3 linked regions of the Drosophila melanogaster genome follow. The protein of the gene in region 2 interacts with the protein of the main gene of each other region in a pairwise test. Each region holds a gene or a part of one and is shown on either strand. Other genes may lie near its edges.

The links.
Region 1: the proteins of CG14442 (region 2) and Archease interact in a two-hybrid assay, tested with the Drosophila melanogaster proteins (one large-scale study listed by BioGRID).
Region 3: the proteins of CG14442 (region 2) and sip1 interact in a two-hybrid assay, tested with the Drosophila melanogaster proteins (one large-scale study listed by BioGRID).

The regions. Positions count from the first base shown.
Region 1 is NT_033777.3:21,659,794-21,666,238, forward strand, and holds Archease (archease), read right to left. Parts: upstream 3,180-6,445; 5' UTR 3,072-3,179; coding exon 3,017-3,071; intron 2,951-3,016; coding exon 2,926-2,950; intron 2,427-2,925; coding exon 2,036-2,426; 3' UTR 1,393-2,035; downstream 1-1,392. Other genes in the region: Jhbp16 (juvenile hormone binding protein 16), read left to right, coding at 5,785-5,995, 6,046-6,343. UniProt on the Drosophila melanogaster protein: Component of the tRNA-splicing ligase complex required to facilitate the enzymatic turnover of catalytic subunit RtcB.
Region 2 is NC_004354.4:6,688,272-6,698,630, forward strand, and holds CG14442 (uncharacterized protein), read right to left. Parts: upstream 6,731-10,359; 5' UTR 5,686-6,730; coding exon 4,132-5,685; intron 3,843-4,131; coding exon of another isoform or gene 3,807-3,842; exon of another isoform or gene 3,802-3,806; intron 3,748-3,801; exon of another isoform or gene 3,411-3,747; intron 3,084-3,410; coding exon 1,533-3,083; 3' UTR 1,025-1,532; downstream 1-1,024. Other genes in the region: CG3184 (uncharacterized protein), read right to left, coding at 1-469; CG14440 (uncharacterized protein), read right to left, coding at 9,058-10,014.
Region 3 is NT_033779.5:5,717,716-5,725,336, reverse strand, and holds sip1 (septin interacting protein 1), read right to left. Parts: upstream 4,287-7,621; 5' UTR 4,202-4,286; coding exon 4,093-4,201; intron 4,042-4,092; coding exon 1,763-4,041; intron 1,700-1,762; coding exon 1,568-1,699; 3' UTR 1,393-1,567; downstream 1-1,392. Other genes in the region: CG11030 (uncharacterized protein), read right to left, coding at 109-117; CG11149 (uncharacterized protein), read left to right, coding at 5,375-5,826, 5,907-6,936; CG34011 (uncharacterized protein), read right to left, coding at 7,270-7,621. UniProt on the Drosophila melanogaster protein: May be involved in pre-mRNA splicing.

The DNA of each region.
Region 1 (6,445 bases), on a different chromosome or scaffold from region 2:
TTGGAATTTGACAGAAGTCCGTTAGCCATTTGCCACCCACCTGCACACCCGCACACCCACACACCCATATACGCATACAGATAGAAGCACGAAACATTAGAGATGGCAGGTAGCTGCAATTATATAAAGTGCGCATTATCATACAGCACCCTTGGTTGTCTCTTCCCCCCGCCCGCGACACTTTACTCACATCATACGTCTTATTCTTGATGCAGGTGATATGTCAGCTGGACCGGCATGCAATTTTTTGCATATGTACTTTTTTAGCCGGCGTTTTGGGCGCACGCCCAAAAACAGTTGTTTTTTGTTTCGCTTGCGGCCCGCTGTTATAAAGAAAATGCCCAGCGCAGCACCCCCCACACACACGCACAACCATGCACACACACACACATGTCACATTCTCTACTTCTAGTACTACCTACCACATTTTTTCCATTCCGCCTTCGTATGGATTTTTCGGCCACGTTTTTCACTAGGTTCCCCTTGGGTTAGCTTTGTGTTTTTGATCGCAAATTATAGGTGAGATCGTCACCTGTCAATTGGTTGGGCTTTCAGGGCGATATCTCCGCGATTTCTGGGTGTAAAACGGCAACAACTAGCGCACAATGTGCTCACGGGCTGCTGCTTCCTCTTCACTTTAACACCATGACAATTGGTGGCTGCAGAAAGAATGAGCGGTGCGGCGAATTGGCGGGGCGAATTGGAAAGCAACAGCAAACACAACAACAAACAGCGGTACGGGCGACTGACGTGTGTGCCACCCACTTTCCGCCAAATATAACCGCGAATAACTGTTGTCTTGTAGTCAGTTTGGCGATTGGTACTTTTACCAAGTTTTTCAGCCACTTTAACTTTGACGCACTCGAAAAGCTGAAAGCTAAAAGCGAATCGACCAACTGGCCGTTTGTGTGTGCGTGTGTGTCCGCGGGCTATTTGCCTTCATACTTTGTTTGTTCTTTCGCACGCTCATTCGTATGGCTCGTCGACCGCAGCGTTGCTTTTTTTTTAATATCAATCAGCTGTAAAAGCGTATATTTTTCAGTTCGCCGTTCTTCGCCCGATGTTCCAAGGAAAAATCATCATACTCGTGCACGCACGCACCCACACAAATACAAGAACGGGCCCATATGTTGGGCGACGTTGCCCGGCAAATGTTTTTTTTGTTGTTTACTTTCTGGGTTTTGACGGTGCGGTCAGCTGTTTCAAAACAAATCGCTCGGTGTTACCAGCTGACTTCGCTCATCGGCCACTAAATAACATCGGCTCACGCGAAAATCATCCGAATAATACTGATTCGAGAATAGCGCGTTATTCAAAGGAAATCGGTTTTTTGAAAAGCGTTAATATTTGTTGATATCGTCGTGGATTGATATTTAGAATTAGGGATTGCTTAATCGTATAGATATTTATTACGATTTACATTCATTGAACTAAATTATTGTTGATAAAAAAATATGTTTGTGTTTTTAGGCCCCGCATTCTCTATACTTTATGTCGAACAAATCAAGTCAATCATAACATTAAAACTATGGCCTTGACTTGCATTGTTAACTGCCCTATTCGACATGACTCCCCAAAAAGAAGTACAACTTAATTCTTTAATGCAACCCAACGCGTCAGCAACTCCTGAAGGCTGCCGAATAAAAAGTGCATTGAACTGGGGCCTGGGAAAGGACAACAAATTCGGCATTTGTCTGGGAATTCAACACGTTGCCAATTCACAAAGCAGTGGGCAAAAAAAAAGTGAATAGTACACAAAAAATTCGAAGGCAAAAGGGTAAATCTTGATTCCGGAATCAGACCGGTGAGAAGGAAGCCAGTCCTAATTGCATTTGCAGCCGCACAATCGAGTGGTTTCTTGATAAGTCATCCTCATCGACAAGGGATGCAGTCGCAGCACGAGAGATTGCAAATTTTTCGGGGCTTATGCAGCGGTTTTTATATCGTTTTTTGGCATTTCACTTATGATTAATGGAGACAGGCAAAGGGGTTGAAACAGAACAGTCACATTTAATTCCCGGCGATCGCCGCTGGATCAAATGTCAATTATCACGAACACCTCGTAGTTGCTGGCCTCCACGTCCTGAATGATTTGCATGGCCGAGTATGTGATTGCCTTCACTTCGGTGCCCTGCGGATGTTTCCCCAGCTCAAATGGTTCCCCGTAACAATGGCAGGAAATCTCGAAGTTTTCCACATCGAACTTGGTGATCTCCAGCTTCTTGCACACCAGATACGGTTCGGCAGAGAACAGGAACAGCAGCTCGTCCAGAAAGTGAAAGAGTAAGCTCTCCAGATCATCTCCATGCGCTTCGATTTCAAAGCACTGCTCCACGGACACGTAATCCAGTTCGGTCATATATCCAAACATGGCCACTCCGCACTGTTCGAACGCCTCTTTCAGCGACGATCCCCATCCGTGGATTCTGTCAAATGGGAAGGATTCCAACATCATCCGTTTATATTAAGTAAATTAATTATGTCTATTGTAGCCGTAAGTTATAATTTATATACAAAACTGCTGCCTTTTAGTGGCGTAGTAAAAGAATTATTTATGATCTACTACTTAATAATAGTCTTGTTGTTTTAAGCGATAGTAGTATAATATAAAAGTCAGAAAAAACTTGCATTACATATAATCTTCAAAAAAGCAGATACATTTGACGTTTAAAAAGCCGTATTCCCTAACTATGAACATAATACATAGGTTTGGGAAAATATGAAAAATTATAATGGCTTTAAAATATGTATAAATTAAAATAAATTCTTTTTCAGAATGTTTGCTATATCTCAAATTCTAATACGAAAGCGCTTATTAGAATCTAGTTTATACGATCATCTGGATTTTTCATTCACAAATAGCGAACCACCCTACTCCACATGGCTAACGGGCACACTTGTTGTTTTTGTTGTTATCTTACTCACTGAACATCCGCCGTGTGATCCAGGTCTGCAACGCAATGTGATGAAATATTTAGCAACAGATTATTCTCCTGCAAATCGAAGAACTACTCACACTCGTACTTCATCTCCGGCAGCAGGAAGTTCTCCCTACTGAATTCCACCTCCATTATTGTTAGTTATAGCTAAAGTTAAAGTAAAATTCGCGGACAAAAACTATAAACAAACCAGCAACCGCTTAGTGTGACCATCTATGCGCAGGGGAAAATACCTACTGAAAGGAATATACCGAGCTCCAATAAGAAATTGTTAACATACAAATTACAGAAAATACTGAGCTCAAACCGGGAAATGTTAACATACAAATTTTAATAAAATGTATAAAATTGTTTGTAAGAAATATTTGGGTTTTATTTAATAAAGAGTAAACTATAAATTATAAAGATTGAATTATAAGATAAAAGTTTCTATCAAGCTTTTAAATTCGAAATTGTTAAAAATATCTAAAAATACCTAAAGGCTTCATTTATTTTTAACTTTGTAATTTAAAAAACTTGTAATTTAAATATGCATGTCAAATGGGAAGGATTCCAACATCAGAAGAGAAGAAAAATAAAAATAATGCTTCCTCCTTTAATAAAGTGTTTACAAAATGCTTCCCACGGCCCTTTTAGTTAAAAAAAATATATCTAAAAACGTTACAGAACGAAAGAAATAAAATTGTGCTAAAGGCTGTGATTGTAATAAAATTAAGTAATTTTGAGCAAAATTAAAGCAGAATTTCCAGTTTATGCCCACCATTTGTTATCGCACTTAAAGTGCTACAAAGTGCTGGCGCATGTTTTCAGCCCAGTTTTGAATTTCTGTAAGAGCGACCTTGTCCTTTCATTAAATCGCAATCAGCCATAACAACTGAAGCTGCAACCTTGTATTTTCATTTGCCAAAAGAAACAGTCCACAAAATCTTCTTCTGGCCTACCGGCAGCATTGCCGTCAATCGTTACGATTGTCAATCACGTCGCTTGATTTATTCAATCCCATGAACTTGAGCGCTGGCTGTGAGTACTTGATTTCATACTTGAATAATACCCATTGACGGACATGGGATTGTCTAATAAATATTGCCTCATTAAATTCAGATCACTTTTCAACCAGCGGTGATGGGTTATTGTTTGAAATAGACAGCGAAGGAAATATTTATTTCTAAGGTCGTTCAACTCGTTGATGTAAAGTTCAAGAAATATTTAGTGTGTTAAGAGAAATGAAAAGTTATTTTATAGTTAAAGTGTTTGTATTATTTCAAATGAATTTTGTATTTACTTTTTGTTCACCTTTTGGGACATTAATATGAATTATTATCAAACATGCTATAAAATTATATGAAATAATATTAATAATAACTTGCTAAGTAATGGTTATCAGTTAGTGCGCATCTCGGTCAATTAAATGATTCTACGCATTTCTAAAGGAATTTATGAATGATTTCTGCTGGTGATTTACGACCGTTTTGTTCAATTTTGTTCATTTTGCACATGAGGAAACGCGACTTGGGGGTGTCAAACTCTAAGCCGAGTTGACAAAGCTCAATTTTGTGCCCGGCCATATTATGGCTTTCAAACATTTTCCTGCTATTTTTGTGGTTTTTTTTTTATTATGGCTCATTTGGCTGCTGCTGCCACTTTTGGTGGAAGCTCTTTTTCTCTGGTTTCCTACGTCTTCGAGTGGTTCAGTTGGCTACGGGAGCTCGCCTGATTCACGTCGCGTATTCGGCGCAAATAACTGTAAAGCTATTATTATTCTCGAATATTTGCGCGCCTTTGCGTACGAGTTCCAGAATTTCATATTTGGCTACACTATATATTTGGAACAACCAGAAGTAAATTGCCTGGAAGTGAAACTAAAGCTCGGGAGTTCGGAAAACTCAACTAAACTAAGTAGCTAGGTAACTTGTTTTGTTAAATAACTGACCGTTGGTCAACTTGGTTGCAAATGCAACCGCTAAACTGAAGAATTGCCAAATATTATCATACGTTGTTGCTCTCGCGTTGCATGACTGGCTGCCGCCTCTAAGTGGATTTAAAAGTTGTTCGCACCCCCAAGTTTGTGTCTTGTTGAAGTCTTTCGTTTACCACTGTTACCATGCTTCCATACTAACGCACGATTTTGTCATGTTTGTAGTTTTCTTTTTACGCTATCTATTTGCTGCAGTACTCAGCCCAGTAATAGTCGGTGAGCTTAAGTTAAAGGGGTCAAGTGCATGCGGCGAACAAAAAGATTACAAAACGAACTACATGAAGATGAGGCTGTTTGAATAGCTTGCGATGAGAAAGAAGTGTCTTTTATTTTCGGTGCTAGGAGAAGTCTTTACGATGGCAATTATAATAATAAGTCTTTAAGTTTCATGCAAATATAAAATTCGTATGATAACTGTACAACTACTATCTTGGAAAAATTACAACTCTATACAAAAGTATTTAACAATTACTAAATCAAATACATTTTTCGTAGTAATGAAGATTCAACAACTAACCGATGGCTAACATATACTTTCAGCGATACATTTTTTTGCTTAATTTTGTATGCCTATCTAATGCCTTTCATATTCCTAACTTATTGAAATTTACCTGAAATCAAGGAACTTAAAAAGCACCATAAACTACTTATAAATCAATAAAAGAAAAAATAACTAACTAACTAATAACAACTCAGTAGACGATCAACTGTATGCAAAAGACAAGGACACTTTAAACAACAAACACCGGTTGCTCTTCACGCCCACAAAATCAGTTTACTCAAAACAATAAAGACAATAAAAACATAACGTACATTTACCTTTGAAATTAACAGAAGACAAACAGTTGCTGTTAAACTGAAACCACGAGCATGTCGCAACAGTCGCTCTCAAACTGTGCTCGCCTTCTGGTTTACCTGGCGGGGATTTCGCTCTTTGCCAACCACTTGGCAAACGCGTCCAGCCAAATCGACGTGGATACGGATCTGAAGCACTTGCTGGGTCGTTGCCACTGGTCGGACGAGGATTTCAACGAGTGCATGCGGCAGGTGTTTAACGACCTAAGGGCCTACTTCACAACAGGTGAGTGAGATGTGGATTACGGGCGAGCAATCATGGAGCAACTCTTTCAGGTGTGCCCGACTACAACATCAAGCCCTTTGACCCGCACCACTGTAGCTACGTTGAGCTGCGACGAGGTGAATCACAGGGTCTGGGCAGCTTTCGTCTGATATTGCGCAATGTATCCGAGTACGGATGGGCGCGATCCGAGGTGACCAAGTTCCATGCCGATCCAGAGGACCAGCGCATCGTCTACACTCAGTATTTCCCCGACAAAAGTCTGGAGGGCGAGTACGAGTTCGCCGCCAAGATGCTGGGTACTGAGATGAACAGAAAAGGCCACTGGAACCTCACCCTCTACGATTACAGGTGGGCACCGAGTTGCATGGAAATATGTATTTCCCAAGCTGTGTTGCAAACACCAGTATTGTTGATAGCTTTTGGCTTACATGACAACCTATCGCTCACTTT
Region 2 (10,359 bases):
CGGAGATGGCCAGTCGGATGTGCTGCCCGTCATGTTGCCAGTCTAGGGCCAGCGCCAATGGCGCTTCCTCCGACGAATCCTGCTCCGCCAGGCTAAAACACGTACGCCTCTGCAGTAGCTTCGCATCCTGGAGAAACTCGTACAATTCCATCTGGCCTAAAGAGTTGACCGTGGCCAGGTGGGGATTACACTCACTGCTCCAGGCCGGCAGCCACTTCATGTCGAGAATGGCAGACGTTTCGATGCACTGTAGCCGCTCCAGGCGGCAGTTTTCCTCTTCAAACTGGTATAAATAAACGCGACCCTTGCGTGGACGCTTGGCTGAAGTCTCCGCCGCCGGCTCGTCCTCCTCCTGGACCAACTGATAGGTGCCGCAGGCAAAGAAACCCGTTGCCGCATCATCGTGTGTCAGCCACTCCACAGAATCTGCCGAATATTCCGTATCCTCGCTGTGGAGCGTTGTAAACATGTTTATGAAAAGATGTTATCAGCAATCGATAACCGATAGCCACTAGCTGACCATCTGTCCCATACATCGCTGCCAATCGACCGTGTTGTTTTGTTCTTATTAGATTTATTTGTTATTTTGGGCTTCTACTGATAAAAATCTGCAAGACAAACAGTAAAACGAAGAATAATCTAGGAGTGGAAAACAGATTTTTTGCAAATCAATAGAAAATTGCCAAACCAATAAAAATGTGAAAAAATATGAACACATTTTTAAAAAGTTAATTATGATTTTTATACAGATCCTCCAGAGCTTTTCCATCACCTGCACGCTGACAACCACTACCGTAATGAGTAGGAATAGAAAGAAAGAAAGGCTGCCTTTGGAAAAAATTTCCAGCGGATGTGGTGCGCGTCATGCGCGTCATGTGCGCGCCAGACGTGCAACATGCAAAAACACGTTCGCCTCTGCATTTGCTATCGATAACCGATAGCCACTGGCTGACCACACATACATCCCATACACCGCTGCCATTGACCGTTTTGTTTCGATCTTATTAGATTTATTTGTTATTTTGGGTTTTTTTTTTGCTTTTTTTTTGCTAATTTAAAAAATTAATAGTTAATACATACAACTACTTAGTGCTCTGTTTACGCGCTACATATTCTGGATTAGGTTTAGTTGGATCTCCACCATCGATCGTAGTTATCTTTTTATTTTAGCTGCATTTCTTCGATTTTCAGTGGCTTTCGGGGCGTCACAGTGTTTCATTTCATTTAGCTTTCTGGGTTTCCGGTGGACTTTTGTGCCTGCCAGGCATCCGTATTGCACTTGATCCTTGATCTCCGCTTACTCTGACTTTTTACAAAATCTACCATTGAAGTACATTAACACTTTAAAAAACAGATTAAAAAAAAATATACGCTTATTGATAACTATAGACAATCCCTACTGTTCGCAGATATCTCCATCGTTTGTGCGTCCAACGCCTGATATTCCGGCGGAAATGGAGGCCTGGCTAGCACGTCATCCACACATATCCCTTCTAGCGATTGGTGCTGCGACTGTGACGCCTCCGCGAACCTCATTTGGTCTTCATCACAATGATTGGCTCGAGTATCTTTAGCATGTCATTGTTTTCGGGTGCTCCCGTTCCACTGCCGCCGCCAGAACCAGCAGCTCCTCCTCCGCCTCCACCGCCGGCTGCATTTGCATAATCCTTGACCGTCTGCAGTTTACTGAAGCCAGGATGCTGCTGCTGATGGAGCTGCTGCTGCTGGTGCTGACTGATGGTCACCAGGCGGTGCTGCTGGTTCAACACAATCGCCTCGTGATGCGGATGCGGCACCAAATGTTGCTGCTGAAGGCTGCCGGCAATCTGCTGCAGCTCATGCTGCTGCAATTGCAGCGCCGGCAACTGTTCGTGATCGTTGGAGCCATCGCCACCGCCCAATGGTGAATCGTCGTTGTCGGCCTTCACCACCGAAACGAAGCCACCATCACTGCCCGTGCCAGTGACCGAAACGGCTTCACTTTCGTACATATGATGCTCGGCACTGGTGTCATCGTCCTGGCACTCATCTTCTTCCTCGGTTTTGGCACGGAACTCGGTGCTGGTGGCGCTGCTGCTGCGCGGCGTGTGGCTGCGCATGCGTCGCATTCGCGCATATTCCGCCTGCTTGGACAGTCGCTCCTTGCGCTCGTCCGTATTCTCGGTGGCTCGGATCTGGGCCCGCTTCAGTCGTGCCCGTTCGCTCAGCTTCTGTAGACGCGTGGCCCGCTGCTCGGGCGTCTCATTGGCACGCACCGCTCGCTGGTGTGCGGCCATCTTGTCCAAACGTATTCGCTTCTCCTCCTCCGTCTCGTATTTGTTAGCACCGCTGCGTCGCGGCGTCAACACTGGCGTTCGACTGTCGCCATCGGCCGTGGAATGTACATGAATCTGGCTGAGCTCCTGATGATGTTGCTGCGATGCCTGCGACAGTGGCCTGCCGCGACGCGGCGTACTGGTGGCCAGCTGCGGTGCGGACAGCATCTGATTGAGCTCCTGCTCCAGCAGACTGTTCACCTTTAGCTGCTCCTCGCTGGGCAACGGATTCTTTCGCGGCCTGCCCCTGCCAACAGGTGTGGTCACAATTTGTGGCGCCGCCGCCGACGACGCGCCTGTCTGTTGTTGCTCCTGCTGTCCCAATCCAGTGACCGTTAGCGTTGGATTCGCCGCCAGTATGTTATACTGTCCGGGACTATTGCCACCACTGGCGTTGGCAAAGTTGACGGGCGTAAACGGCGGCGGCACTGCATTCGGCCCGATGCCAATCTGGAAGCCATTGTGGTACATTGGATAGTAGGCGGTGGTGGTTGTACCGCCGGCGCCCGTTGTTGTACCCGCCGTTACCACGCCCACGTGTCCGACATTGGTGGTACTGGTGGTGCTGTTGCCGCTGCTGGTGGTGTTAGGGAAGGTGGCCAGGTAGGGGAATTGATTATACAGCTGCTGCGCCTGGCCGGGCGTCGCCTTAAGCAGCTTCTGTTCCCCGCTGGCCGTCGTCACGATCACCTTGGTCTCGTTGTGGCCGAGGCTAACAGACCCGCTGTTATCATTGCCGCCCGCTGATACCGTAGCATCGTTGTCCGACTGCAAGAAGGGATAGAAGGGATTGGCAAGCCAACGGGTGAGTCGGTTTGATTCTGCGGGTTATGGGACTATCGGTTTGGAATTCTGGTATAAATCTTAATCTTCGCAATCACAGCAATCTTCGGTAATTGAATTTTACAAATCATTGCAACCTAATTTCGTAATTTGAGTGATAAGATTGATTGATGTGATTGAAGGTGGTCTTATAGATTGGTTTTCGAAAAGAACCGAGTGCGAGTGATAGAGCGAAAGGGATAGATGGAGGACACACACACACACACACACGAACGCACACCTGTACAAGGGAATTAAAACCACTTTTTGTTTGTTTCTGGTTGGTAAAAGTATTTTGTTCTTAGGTTCAAGATTTACATTGCTACATATATCTACACTCTATACGATTGATTAATTCATTTGCTTCTGACCAAAAAAAAGAACTAACACAAGTAATATGAACAACGAACAATAATGTTAACTGAAATAAACTTATACGATTTTCGCTTTTGATCAAAAGAGGAGTTAAAATGCGGGTAAGGCAACGCGCAAAAAAAAAGAGAGGTCCATTGGCCGCTTCTTCTGCCAATTTCCATTGAATTCTATATATTTTCAAAATTCCTACTTTCCGGTTTCAAGCATTTTCCTTTGAGGCAGTTGATTTCGCCAACTGCAAGGAAAATATTTGAAATTTACGAGTATTGGCAATTGTTTGATATTTTACCAGCGCTACGAATTTGTATTCGATTCCAAATTCCTCTGCAACTGTAAAAATCATTTATTGTTATTATTCAGGAATCAAGCTAAATTAGGCTAATCATGTTTTGATTTTACGTTTACTGGAAGTAGATAGTGCCCTTTTTTTCTAATACCGATTAGATTTCAAATAAATAGTGTTTCTAGATAACAAATTACATTGATGGATTCATGGGCAAGATGAGGTTCCTGGAGGATGCCAAACTTTAGTTTTGCTGCGTTACTTTGTGTGTGTGTGCGTGATTTAGTTGCTATCGCCGATCATTCTTGCTATCTACTACGCCTACTGCATACGCACCTGAAGTTCCTGCTTCTTGGCAGCATATTTGTGCGGGTAGAGTTCCAGCTGGCCACCGGCGATGCTGAAGTGCGGCACATGGGCCTGGAGCAGCTTTGCGGTGCCCTTGCCACCCTCATCGCCATAGATCTGCTGCACAAAGATGCTGCCCGGCTCGGTGCCCTCGAGCAGAGCAGCCGTAACCTGTTGCTGCTGCTGTCCGGTGATGGTGTATCGCTGATGCTGCTGCTGCAGCTGCTGCTGTGTAATCTGCTGCTGCTGCGGCGTCTGTGGCTCCTGCTTCAGTTGCATGGGTGGACGTAGGGAGCCGGGCGCCAGAAACATGCCCTGTCCCATATACTCCACTCCGGCCAGGGCCTGGTGTTGCTGATAGGCGGCTGCTGTCACCAGATGCTGCTGATCCTCCGCGGGCTGCGGGGTGCCTGCCTCGTCCGTTGTCGTCGTCGTCGCTGTGGTGGTCGCCTGGTTTAGATTGATAGTGTGTTCGTTAGTACAATTGGCTGCCGCCGCTGCTGCGGCTGCTGCTGCAACAGCCAGCACCTGCTGCTGTTGTTGCTGCTGCTGTTGTTGCTGCTGTTGCTGCTGCTGCTGCTGGTGGTGGTGCTGCTGGTCCGTTGACGACGAGGAGGATGTCGGCGTTGAGACGACCACCGACGACGAACCACCGTGCACCACAACATGCTTCAGTACCTTCTTCTTTTCTCTGACCTTTTTGGCATAATCGTTCAGCTTTCTCAGTCTTTCCTTCCGCTCCTCCGGTGACTCATTGGCGATCCTTTGGCGCGCCCTTGCCGCCATTTCTGCCAGCCGGAGCTTTCGCTGATCGTTCGTCTCGCTGGCGCGATACATGCGCATCCTTTCGGCCAATTTGGCCAGCCGTTTGGCCCTCTGGTCCGGCGACTCCATGGCCCGGCGTAGCCGTTGCCTGGCCGCATTCCTCACTAGCCGCATGGCCCGCTCTATGTCGGATTCATTCTGGCGTCTCTGGCGATTGGCTTCTGCATTCCGGAGTAGTCGCTTGCGATACTCCTCCTCGCTCTCGCGCTGCCGGCGTTCCCGCATCCTTTCAGCATTTCTGGCCAGACGGCGCTGGCGTGCCTCGGGGCTCTCGTTCCACCTCTGCTGGTGGCCAGTGGTGGAGGCACCTGTTATGGATGCGGAACTGGCACTGCTGGTGGGTCCCAATGGAGTGGGTGGCTGCTGCGATTGCTGCTGCTGCAATTGCTGTTGCTTCAGTGGTGCATAAAGCTGGAGATGCTGTTGCTGGAACTGCAGTTGATCCTGTTGCTGCTGGTGAAGATGTTGCTGCTGGAACTGTTGCTGTTGTTGCTGATGCTGCTGCTGCTGTTGTTGATGTTGCTGCTGTACGTGCTGCTGCTGTTGTTGCTGCTGTTGCAATTGCAGCTGGTGATGCGAGGAGAGTGGTACCAACAAAGCTGAGGGATGCTCGATGAGCAGGCGGGCATTGGAGCCATTGATGGCCAGCACATGGGTGGCGTACTGCTGCTGATCAAGTGAGGGCTCTATTTTTATCCCATTGGGATCTGGTTCCATTCTTGGTCAAAAGCCGGGGCAACAACAATCGAAATTGTCGTCTATCGGGGCTCCAAAAGTGTACTGTTTGTTATGTATATATATATATTTATATATATATTTATAGATATATATCTATATATGTGTATATAGACGATGGGTATTTGGTTATCGAAAGGATGAGCGCAGTCCTTCCGATTGTTTCGATAACATCTAGGGGCCGCGCTCTTGCTCGCCCCCTCTCTTTCGCACGCTCTGGGCCGTCTCCCGCTCTTTTTTTCGTCCGCTGCTCCTTGGCGTTTCCTCTTTGTGTTTGTTTTGTTTCGCTTTTTGCTTACTAGTAGTTATATAAAGAATATGTGTGTGCTGGCGCCGTTTCTCTCTCGCACTCTATTTTTGCGGCGATCACTCCGCTATTGTTATTGTGGTCCTCGGGCATTTCTTTCGTTCCCTTTTTGGCTATGAGCGGTATTCTTCTTCTCCATTTTTAGCATTATGCACTTTATTACCGTTCGTATTTGGCCATTACAATTTTTCGTGCGTTTTCATAAAAGCGTGCTTCTTCTTGCGAGTCAGTGACAATTGGCGCCGCCGCCGCGCTGCTTCTGCGCTGCCAATCGATTTTTCACATGATTATACACACACACCCATGCAGCCGCCGTCCGCACACACAAGCACGCACTGCTAAACACACACACACACACGCGCAACGAAGCAATACGCAACGTACGTGTGTGCGAGTTTTTTTCCGCTCCTTATTTTGCTTTTTGCACAAACCTTAACCCTTTGATTTGTAATTCCATTTATTCGCCGTGCTGCGGTGCATCCAGGCGCCTTTTCTCTTGGTGGGTTAAAAGGATGTTCTGTGGCGGCGCAGCGTTAACTTAACTACCGGGAATTTTCCACATAGCTGGGACCAGCGTATATCTGCCACTTCCGATCGCACCGTAATGTCATTAACTTGAAGTATGCGTACTTGTTCGCAATCCGTGGTACTGTATCTTTAATTTAATTTAATTCATCTTATTTCAGTTGTTTTCATTTCAACAATCGTTCTGTTCACAGTAGGGATGGTAAAAAGTATCGATACATCGATAGTTGAGCAGGCTGTCGATTCATTGGAAAATGCAACTGATTAACCGATGTTCCGCTTGAAATATCGCCCGGGTTTATTTTACAATTTGGAAATTAGTCTTGCAGGCAGATAATATTTATATTATTATTTGGCTGCAGTTTTGCAGTACCATATTACAGAATATATGTACTATTTTTCCATACTTAATGTTATAGTTAGATCAGCTTGTCGATAGCTTGATGTTTGAAATCGATTTTTTAAAAATCAAGCGTAACGTCAAGACATGGATAATTCTATTTCAATTGTAACAAATTTTCGCCTCTTGGCCACACTGTTTTAAAGCTTACTTTACATAACAATCAACTATGTTATGTTATGTTAACAGGGCATTAACATTCCAAAGCTTTCAAATCTTTTTGAAATGAATAAATGCGATTTATAAAAGTGAATTAAACTATTTATATAAAATTAGAAACTATATTATTTCCAATAAGAGCATTTCGTTGATAATCGTAGATAATCGTATATATAATAGGATTAGTTCAGTAGCATGTGCTGAATGGAGTTTGTAAATTATTTATATTTTATATTTAAATGTATTTTAGATGGGAGTTTTTAATTTGTTTAATTGCTGTGATACTTAAATGTACAACAAGCATACGGATGGCGATCCTGAGAATGGGACCCACCCTTCAGGTTCATCGAGGACATTCTGTCAGATTTGAAGGAAATTTTCAAAATTGTAGTGTTATTATCAACCATTCCTGATCATTTCCGGTTGATAACGCTTTTACTTTTTTTTAGATTATCACTATTCCCTATTAAATTCCCACCAAAGCTCAGAACGCAGCATTTAAAAATTGTGAATGCAACTTTATTCAAGTATATTCATTTTGTTATTCTCGTTTTTTTTCGCTTATATTTTTCTGTTTCTGTTTTCACTTTCTTGGTGTTGTGTTTTGTTTGTTGATTTTTCTTGTTGTGTGTTGTCATTGTTAGTGTACACGAATATTACAATACACAAAAATGTATCTCAATCTTATGTCTTAAGGCAAAAAACAATTGATAAACGTATTTAGACAGGAGAAAAACAATTTGAAATTTCGACTAGAACTTAATGGTTACACTTTATTAATAATAATTAGCATAATATATATATATACATATGTATATATATGTATATATAAATATATATCATGTATATATCATGTGGGCCCGCGCGGAAGGACATGGGCGTGGGAAGAGGCTGAGGATATGGATAAGGATAAGGTCTAGGAAAAGTGGGCGGTTGGATGTTGGCTGGGGAAGGGAGGAAGGATTGCGTGCTTTAACAAATATTGCGTTATGTGCCTGGCTACGGATCATGTGTGTATGCTCCAACTATATATGTATATATATATATATATATATATAAATTTGTATATATACATATATTTATGTGGGAGCTGCCGAGTGTGTGTATATTATCCTTATGTGAGTGGCGCTGTCCGTTTTGGGTTACATGCCTTTACCAACTTACACACACATATGGGGGTTGTTCGTCACTAGGGTGCCTCAGTTGTTGTGGAAAAATACGATTTTTGAATGTTATAGCAAGTTTCGCCCGAGGATTTCCTCGAAAGGCACTTGTTGCCTCGTCCATCCGCGATGCTCAGTAATTATTTTAATATTTAGTTTTTCGGGTTTCTTTTTGTTAAGCTTGGGAGGTGTACCTCCAGTCGTTGGCGATTTTCCCTCCGTTTTTTTTTTTTTTTTATTTACAGTGAGGCACCCTGGCGCTGTAAGCTTCCTTTTTCCTGGGGGAGTGGGGGATATTACTGCCCTTTTTTGGGGGCTCTATATGTGTGGCAATGACTATGCTAGTGCATGTGTGTGTGGGGGTTGGGGGTGTGTGTGTGTCTGTGTGTGTGTGATTGGTTTTTGTGTCGTGTGTGTATACATATCGTACGAATATAATGCATGCATTATAAAAATACTTTACTTTATGATTACATTACGTTACTTCATCTTGTTAATTTTTAACTTAAAAAAAAAAATTGCCTGGCTTTAATCCTAGAGTGCCTGCTGCCCATTCATTTGCAAGTCCTCAAGAATCCTTCTGGTTTCGGACTGGTTTCCTTATCTCAAACTTTTTTCTTATAGGCTGTATACAATATATATATATGTTTATATATATATATAATTTGTAGATGTGTCTGTGTTCCTCTGCCGATCCTGGCCAGCTTTTAGGGCTGCTCGGCCAAGCTGCTCTGCCGGAGAGCCAGCTCCAAATGGGCGTATTTGCCTGAATCCAGGCTAACCGATTATACGATCCTCCATTAGTAACCCTTTAGCCTGTCGGCCAGCGGCGGCTTGATGACCTTGGGCGCACTGGCCCGGGCGATTCGCATCCGTTCGGCGGCCTTGGCCAGCCGCTTCTTACGCTCCTCGACGGTTTCCGAGGCGCGGCGCAGTCGCTGCCGCGCTGCATTCTTCATCAGTCTTAGGGTTCTTTGTACTTCCGTTTCGTTCTGGCGTCGCACTCGATTCGCCTCCGCATTCTTGGCCAAACGCACGCGGTACTCGGCCTCCGATTCCTTGGCCCGTTTGTCCCGCATCCGGGCGGCGTTTCTCTCCAGCCGCCTTTCCCTGGCCTCAATCGATTCGTTGCTTCTCCGGCGGGCGGCCTTTTGCGCTCTCGAGGATTGGCCCTGCTGCGTCACTGACTGCTGGGCGCTGAGATGTGGCACGCCAAGATTGGCAAGACCCGGAACGCCACCAAGTTGACTGGCCTCGACCACAACGCCAGCGGACAAATGATGATGCAGGGGGTGCTGCTGCTGCTGCTGCTGGAGTACCTCCTGGTGGGGATTGCCCTGCTGTTGCTGCTGCTGCTGCTGCTGGTGGGGATTACCCTGCTGTGCGAAATTGTTCTCGAGGCTCAGCACCGCCGTTCCAGACGCACTGCCACCGCTGTTCGCTGCACTTGCTGAGGCACTGGCTGCGGTTCCCGCGGATCCTGATCCCGAACCCGAACCGGACACAGATACGGAGGTGGCTACGGATGAGGCAACGGCTGCCGCCGCGGCCGCCGAACTGGTATAGTTGTTGTACTCTAAGAGGCCCCGATTGCCCGAGTAGAGGGCATGGTGCATGGGACTCTCATAGCTGAGATACTCCGGCTTGATGAAGAACGGATCGCGGGCGGTGAGCGGCGCCGTCGGCGAGTTGAGGAAGTAGAGGCGACTGTGGTGCTCGGTGGTAATGCTCCCTCCGCCACCCACACCCGCTGACATCGGGGGATTTGTGCGCTCGCTCGCGACTCGCCTTTGGGATCCGGTTGGTGGTGCTTGTGATGGTTATTTTTTGACGGAAGTTATGTCCTTCCGTGGTTCCACCGTCGTTCGTTACTTTTCTTTTTCTTTTCCCGCGCGCCGGGAATTAACACAATTAACTGGCCTGGGCAAAAAAAATGTGGCGAGTAAACAACAAAAGCGACATAACTAATCAATATGGAAAAAAGCTGCAGAGCTGGTCCAAAATAGCTTTAAAAATAGCTTTCAATAATTTCGCGGAAGCTTTCGGCGCAGAGTGACCGACCATCAAAGGCGAAATAATACCACAGCCACATTGCGGCACTC
Region 3 (7,621 bases), on a different chromosome or scaffold from region 2:
TGATAGATGGATATAATATTTTCATTATGTTATGTTCAGGAATATTATTGAACAACCATTTAAGCTTCTTTGATATAGTCGTGCTTTAAAATTAAATATATTACACACCTGCACCATTTTGATGTCCTTTTGCGGGTGTCCCGTTAGTGAGTCCTCCTAATCCAACGGATATTTCCGTGCCGGTTGTTCGGCGAGCGGTAAATTTAGCAGTGGGAGCTGTTAGAGCGAGACGCCAGCAAAACAAACGAAACCAGCTACAACAACTGAACTTAAGACGCGAGAGAGTGGCGCACGTGGTGGAATCACTTTTGTTTTAGTTGCGCTTTTATTGCACCGCCTGTCGAATTCATTGAATTTGGGGGGGAATACGCACGCACACACGCACTCACGACTGCATTGGCGAATAGTGTGGGCGAAGTGCAACGAAAGAGCGGGAGAAGCGAAACGAAAGACACGCGGTTTCAATTTGCTAACAGTGCCTATCGCGATAGGAGTGCTTGTGTCTTGGTTTTACAATTAATTGTATTGCACTACGCGAGCTTCAGTTGACTGCACCGTTTCGAACCGCATCTGGCTCACTACTTGCTTGCTTTGCGTGCGCCAAACGAACCGAACGCGAACTCAGTCAGTTTATTCCTATTTCCACGACGCGTTCTAGAGTCAGCTGCGATGGCCAGAGGTGGCAGCGGGCCGATGACAAGCCGATACTATCGATGTATTTATCTATCTATCCATCATCGTTGCCCGGCTGCGGATATCGATTAGTTGCATGGGCCGCTCCGGTTTTTCAAACATTATTTCCATATTTTTGTAAAAAAAGTTAAATGAGAAGAAAATAATAATAATAATAATAATAATGTATAATAAATGTGCGTCAAATTAGCGACGATAGCGGAACGGTGGAAATTGGAACTCGGGGACTTTTTTTTTGCGAATTGTGTCCCGCTGATCTAAACTACCGTGTCCCTATAGGCTAATAGGCTAAGCCTAATTATATAATGATCCTGAAAAATGCTTTAAAAATTATCCACCGATTTCCAGAAATCCGCCTCACAGCGAAGGAGTTTAAATTTATTTAATAATGCCGCCTTCTCTAGCACCACAGCCAATCCATGTCATAAACCACATTATTAACAATCAAATTTCGACTTTAAAGATTTATTAATCGGTTCAACCAAAGACACTAAAGATACTTCTAGTGTACTTCTACTTCAACGCGCACGTTACAAACCCATGCTCCCACAAAATAAATATATACCGAAAAATACTGCCAGTATATTTACATCTTAAATTCATGGAGCATGCAGCTCGGACCCAAACCGTGGTGAAAAACTTGGATGTAATCATATCAATTTCAAAAATATTCAAATCCGTTTCAATTTTATACAGAATAATATATCTGATTACTTTTACATATATATTTAGACATTTGCTTATATCTGCAGAGCCATCTCATCATACAATCACCTTATATTACAAACTTATTAGGGAACAGCAAGAGCTAAGCTTCTGATCCAATCCAATTAAACATTTTCCAAGCCAATTAAACATTTTCGCAGCTATTTATTTAAAGAATTCCCGTTTGAGAGCGTTCTAGCAGATGATTTAGCGACACCGGCTTCCAGTTGCTGAAGCTGCCATCGCTGACCATGCAGACGTGACGATCGATGTAGCAAAACAGCTTTCCCACACGATAAATCTGTAAATGCAATAAATCTATTAGTATATAACGCTCTGTGGTCGAAAATGGATTAACAGTCACCTGTTTGCCCATCTCCCGTCGCCCTGGCAGAGGAGCGAAGATGATTCCCAAGTCGGCGCATTGCTGCGATACCAACTCTTTGAACTCCAGCTGAGCGGGCGGATGAATCAGGTCCATCATTATGACTGGAGCCGGAGGAACTGGAGGCGGGGGCGTGGGCGTCACCGTGGGCTGCAGCAGGGTATCGCTGGCTCTGTGCATAATTTCCAGTGCTCGCCGCAGATGCTCTTTAACGCTGGGCTCGCGCAGAAGCGGTTCGCTCAACATGCTCTTCCAGCCGGTGTACCATCGCGAGATCTCCGCGTAGTCCGGCGACTGATTCAGCCAGACGACGAGCACTTGCATCCAGCGCGGGAAGAAGTGTCTGTCCAGTAGTTGGGCCATGTACATGGGATCGATGAGCTCGTGCCACTCCCATACCTGCTGCCACAGCTCCAGGTCCTGGTGCATTGGATTGATGATGAGCTCGCCTAGAGTCGCCTGCAGTTTGGGCACTATGTACCGCTGCAGGAACTCTTGCATCTCTTCCTCGGGGAAGGCCTTCTGCCAGGGCGTAAGCATGGCTCTGGCTGATCGGTCATGCGGTGACCAGGCGCGCAATGCTATACCCAATTTGCTGCGGATCTGAGGATAGACGGCCTCCTCCAGCTTGCTGCCCAAGATGGCATGCCACGGCAGCACCCAACTGTCGATCGGAACGGTGTCGGTGAGCGGATCCCACTCCTGGACACCAGCCACCAGTCGTGGCAGAACCAGTTGCTCGAGAACCGAATCCAAGACCCAGCTAGGTAGCAGGGGTGCCCAGGCATCTAGGAGTGAAGCCATTGGCGGATGCTCCTTCGGCTGCCATGCGGCAGCGCTGGACCGAAACGAAGGCATCACGCCGGCCCAGATGAGCGAGGAGTACGGATCGAAGACGTTGCGGGGCTGCTGCTCTGCTGCATCTCCTTGCTGGAGCATGCCGCGCCATTTCTTGATGAGTGGCAGCGGTTCCGTTGGGTTTTCCAGTGGCTGCCACTGAACTAGTTCTCGCTTCAGGAGCGGCGCTATTACACCGGCTGCCAGATCTGCAAGTCCGAACTCATGGAATTCGGCAGCGTAGTCCACGAGCAGCTCCCGAAAGAGTCGTTCAGCCTGAGGTAAACTCAAGTCTGGATTATCGATTAACCGCTCCACGCGCTCCAACGATTCCTCCAGCGTGCGTATGTGGTTTCGTTCTAGCTGGACTATCTCCTCCAGTTTCCGGTGCTCGCTTTCCAGCGCTGCCTGCTGGCTGGAACACTCGCGTTCCTGGTTGTCGATGGCGATGATCTGCTGCTCGCACTGGCTAACCAAGAGCTGGAGGTTGTGCGTCAGCTCGGGCATGGCAAAAACGCAGGCGGGAGCGGATCCCTTTTCCGTCGCCTCCGTGTCGTAGAGCGTCTCCTCTGGCGTAATTTTTGCCTGTCCCAAGGCATGATAGCCACTCAGCACTCGTTTCTCTGGGCCTGTCATATCGATCACCCGCACATTGCCCAGTTTCTTGCTTAGCTTCTCCGACAGTAGGTGGCCGGACGTGTGACCCTTGGCAATCACCTCCTCCACGGACTTGTAGTAGTAGCGCTTACCCTGCCGCTCCATTGGTTCGGCGCCACCGGCTGAGCCCTTTCGCCACTTGTTCAGCTGGTCTTTGAACTCTTTCGCCTCGCGCACGTCCTCATCCACTTTGATGCTCTTGTTCGTCTTTCCTCCGATGCTTGCCGCAGTTTCGGGTCCATAGGCGCCGATAGCACCTCTGCCCTTGCGGACATGGGCTTGCACAGGATGCGAAATGCCCTGCAGATCTTTGCCCAAACCCTTGCCAGGCTCATAGCCCATTTGAAGGAGTAGCTTAGCTCCAATGCCGCGTGTATGCTGCTCCCAGGCGCCCACGTTGCGCTCGCTGGCGATGTGGGAGCGATGCTGAAATGTGGTGCTTGGCTGTTTCCGGCTCAGCGTTGGCCTCTCCTCTTCTGATGAGCTGTTGGAGCTGCCCGGATCGTTCTGGCCGAAGGCTGGCCGTCCGCTGGCGGCGGAATCGTCGCTCTCCTCGCCCTGGTCAGCCTCTGCTCCCTCTTTTTGCGATCCTTTCTCATCATCGGCTTGGAGCGCCTTCTTCTTCTTTTTGCCCGCCTGCTGAATGCCGCCGGCCACAAAATTGACGGGCATGGTGTAGTCTTTGGGTTTACGGGCGGCGCGCCCCCTTCTCTTAGTTCCGCCCTCGCCACCACTCTCCTCCTCGCTGTCATCCGCCCAAATACCTACAGAAAGTTCGTTTACAAACAAATTCCGGCATGTATTTCAATACATACCGTAGATCTGTTGGTGCCTGCTCTGGCGGCCTCGGGGCCGATTGATGTTGAACTCATTGTCCAGATCGTAGTCCGTTATCTCGAAACGCTCGTAATCGTTGTCCGACATCCTGGCTAGACGTGTATATATTACTTACAGCAGAAACTGAAACTTTTGTGAATGTAAACAAACGCACCATTGACAATAGGGATGGCCCTAAATTAGCAATTTTATCGATAAGAAAATCGATACAAAAGTACTAAATACTAACTTTAGTACACTATTAGTATCGCTTATCGGCGCCAAAATAAATTTAAATTTTTTGACAATTGAAAACCACAACTAATTGACTCAATTACCGAACTATTATTAGTTTAGTAAGTTCATTCCTAACAGAATGAGCTCCCTTTTAATTAGCATAAGTACGCAGTATGAAATACTTGAGAATCCGATTTCAAAAGAAAACTATTTTTAGAAAATTTTTTTAAAGGTATTTGATTATAGTGATAAGATATTAAAATCGATAAAGTAAGAAATACATGTTTATGCCGCCTAATCGTCTGTTGACCATATATGTATTTGGCTAACACTCGATTAGCGCTATCAATTGGTTACGTCTACTGAATTGTTATGATAAGGATAGGAAAATACGACAATATTGATAACTAGACGGATAAGAAAATCACTTGAACTATGATAGCTTCGCGGGAACTTCAGTAATTTTAGTCTGTTTCCATTATTCATCGCCGAATGTTGTCTGTCTCGTTCGTGAAATAACTTTTAATCTTAACAGAAAAAAATCCCTCAAACAATTTGCGTCGTTTCGTACGTCATAAAATGGGTTAATCTTTAATGTGCAAACTCTTGTCGATGGAAATGAAAGTGTCAGCCGGTAAAGTGAAAAGTTGTTCTCTGTGTATGGTACCATAAATGTCACCGTTTTTATCAGAGTACGTAAATCATGTTTAGTTTTACTGGGTAAAAGGAGGTAGTCATCTTCATTGTTGGGCAGCCCCATTATCAGAACATTATAAAACATCGATGAACCCCCTTGCATGCTACCACATTACATGGAATCTTATCGGATGAGTACAGCACTAATTTCAGTTCATACAATAGGCCCAGTAAATTAGACATAACTACAGACAAAAAGCTCAGTCGCTGCCATAAACTCTTCTTTCGATTTCCATATCCATTTTCAACGGAATTATATCAATATTTCTGTTTCCGTTCACAGGTCAATAAGTTCTTTGTGTTCTGTTAGTTAAGGAGTTCCTGTGAATCAATGTTCTCGAAATCAGCATGGCGACCATAAGTTTTTGCAATAGGAAATATGTCCGTCTGTGGCCAGTGCTCATACTGTTCAATGTGGCACTCCTGCTGGTTTGGAGGAACCTGCAGCAGGCCCAGAAACTGGCCGCATCTTCTAATACTGGTGGGCAAAAGTCGGTAGGACTTTTGCTGTCCAACGAGTCGAATCCCTCACGTTTTTCTGCAAACTTCCATCTCGCCAATGATCAGCATCCGAAAATAATCCGGCGAGAGGACTCCGCTCGCACCAAGGAATTGCGATCATTGCTCAAGTGCCGCGACCGATCGCTCCGTTTCGAGAGGCTTCAGCACGGAGAGTTCTGGCTGCTTCAGAATCTTGTCATGGGACGAAAGAGTCGGGAAGTCGGCTGTGCCGAGTCCGTGACGTATACCACCAACGGGGACTTTACGTTCTTCGATAATCTGGAAATGGTGGTATCACGGTGAGTGCTCTTTTATCTAATAAACACTTAATAGCAATCTATAAAGATTTCTTTGCTAACTTAATTTACTTATTTTCCAGTTGGCGTGCTCCAGTTAGTTTTGCCATCCACACTCCAGGTTATGATCTTAACACCACACTGGATGCCATTCGGTATGTGCGAAACTGTTTGCCGGAGAGCGATAGCATCAAGGACTGGGTCTCCTTTCACGTGTACTTCCCAAATCAGCACATGCCGGAATACGTGCCATATGACGAGGCCGAGGTACTAATGTATCCGCACATGTGCACCCTGGCCAATGGATCGTTGGTATCGCCGCTCTACACGCAAATCCCAACCACGGATAGCTACAAGTCAAGGGCCAACCTCACGTACCCCATCAATGTGGGCAGGAATATAGCCAGGCTGGCGACCAACACCCACTTCATCTTTGCCTGCGACATCGAGCTGTATCCCAGTGTGGGCTTCGTCGACCAATTCCTGGACATGGTGGCCAGAAACCACAGTGTCCTTGCACTGGATCCGCGGCAACGCAGAAGGGTGTATCCTCTACCCGTTTTCGAGATCGAAACGGGCGCCAAAGTGCCGGTAGACAAGGACGAATTGTTGGCCCTCTATCGAAAGCAGCAGGCGCAGGTGTTTCACCTGAAGCTTTGCCCCACATGCCACACTATTCCTGGCCAAGAAGAGTGGCTCAATCGAACCTCTCGAGCCGATGACCATCTGCACGTGTTTAGCAAGGCGCTGCGAAAATGGAAGTTCCGAGCCTGGGAGCCCTTCTATGTAAGCGATAACACGGAGCCACTGTTCGACGAACGCGTCACGTGGGAGGGTCAGTCGAACAAGCGCATACAGGTGAGTTACTACTGTAGTCAAGTTTCCGTTTCACAGTGCAACCTTTTATTGCAGAACTATGCTATGTGCCTTTTGGACTACGAATACCATGTCTTGAGTCCCGCATTTCTAGTGCACAGTCCTGGGATCAAGCAATCCAGCAAAGCTGACTCCACTCGTCTTCAATACGCGAAGGAAATGACTAAATTTATTAAGAATAAAATCGAGCCCGAATATCGTGTGCTCTTCGGAAAGAACTCAGCCTGCAAGACGTGACATTACTTTGATAATATAACAAATAATGTAATTAATGAATTTATGCCCCATCTAAGTTATGCCTTTATAGGAAAAAGAGTCTATTCTTTTTACTACTTAAACCGAGTAGTATGTATATTTTGAACTTAATGCTCACTGCTTGCTATTCATCAATGTGAAAATATATTATATTTTATACAATTAGATAATAAGACCTAATGGATACAATTCCCTATACCTTGGGAAACTGATTGCTCCGCTGTTTCATGTAGTACAATATATAGAACATAAATTTTAAATTAAATTTTTAAATGCATTTTAAATTCTTCAGCAAAATGGCTTTCACATAATTGTTTAGATTGCAACTCTTTCCTTGTGTAGATAGTCTTCTTTGATGGCATTGCGTAGTAAAACTTTTGACAAAAGCTCCTGCCGCTGAAAAAATTCAGAGGACTCTTCATAATTTATATTTTGTGGAACGTTGTCATCAGTTTTTTCATCCTGCCACCACTTCGATTGTGGCAAATCCCACAATTTTTGCCCGGCTTTTGGCATTACGTAAATAATTATTGGCTGTTGTGAGATCGGATTAATAGATGCCATTTGCTTGGATTGCACTCCGTTTGTTACGGGATTCAAAGGATCTGGACCGTAAAGTCGTATATAACGTTGACTCCGCACTAGGAACATTATTTGCACGAAGGCA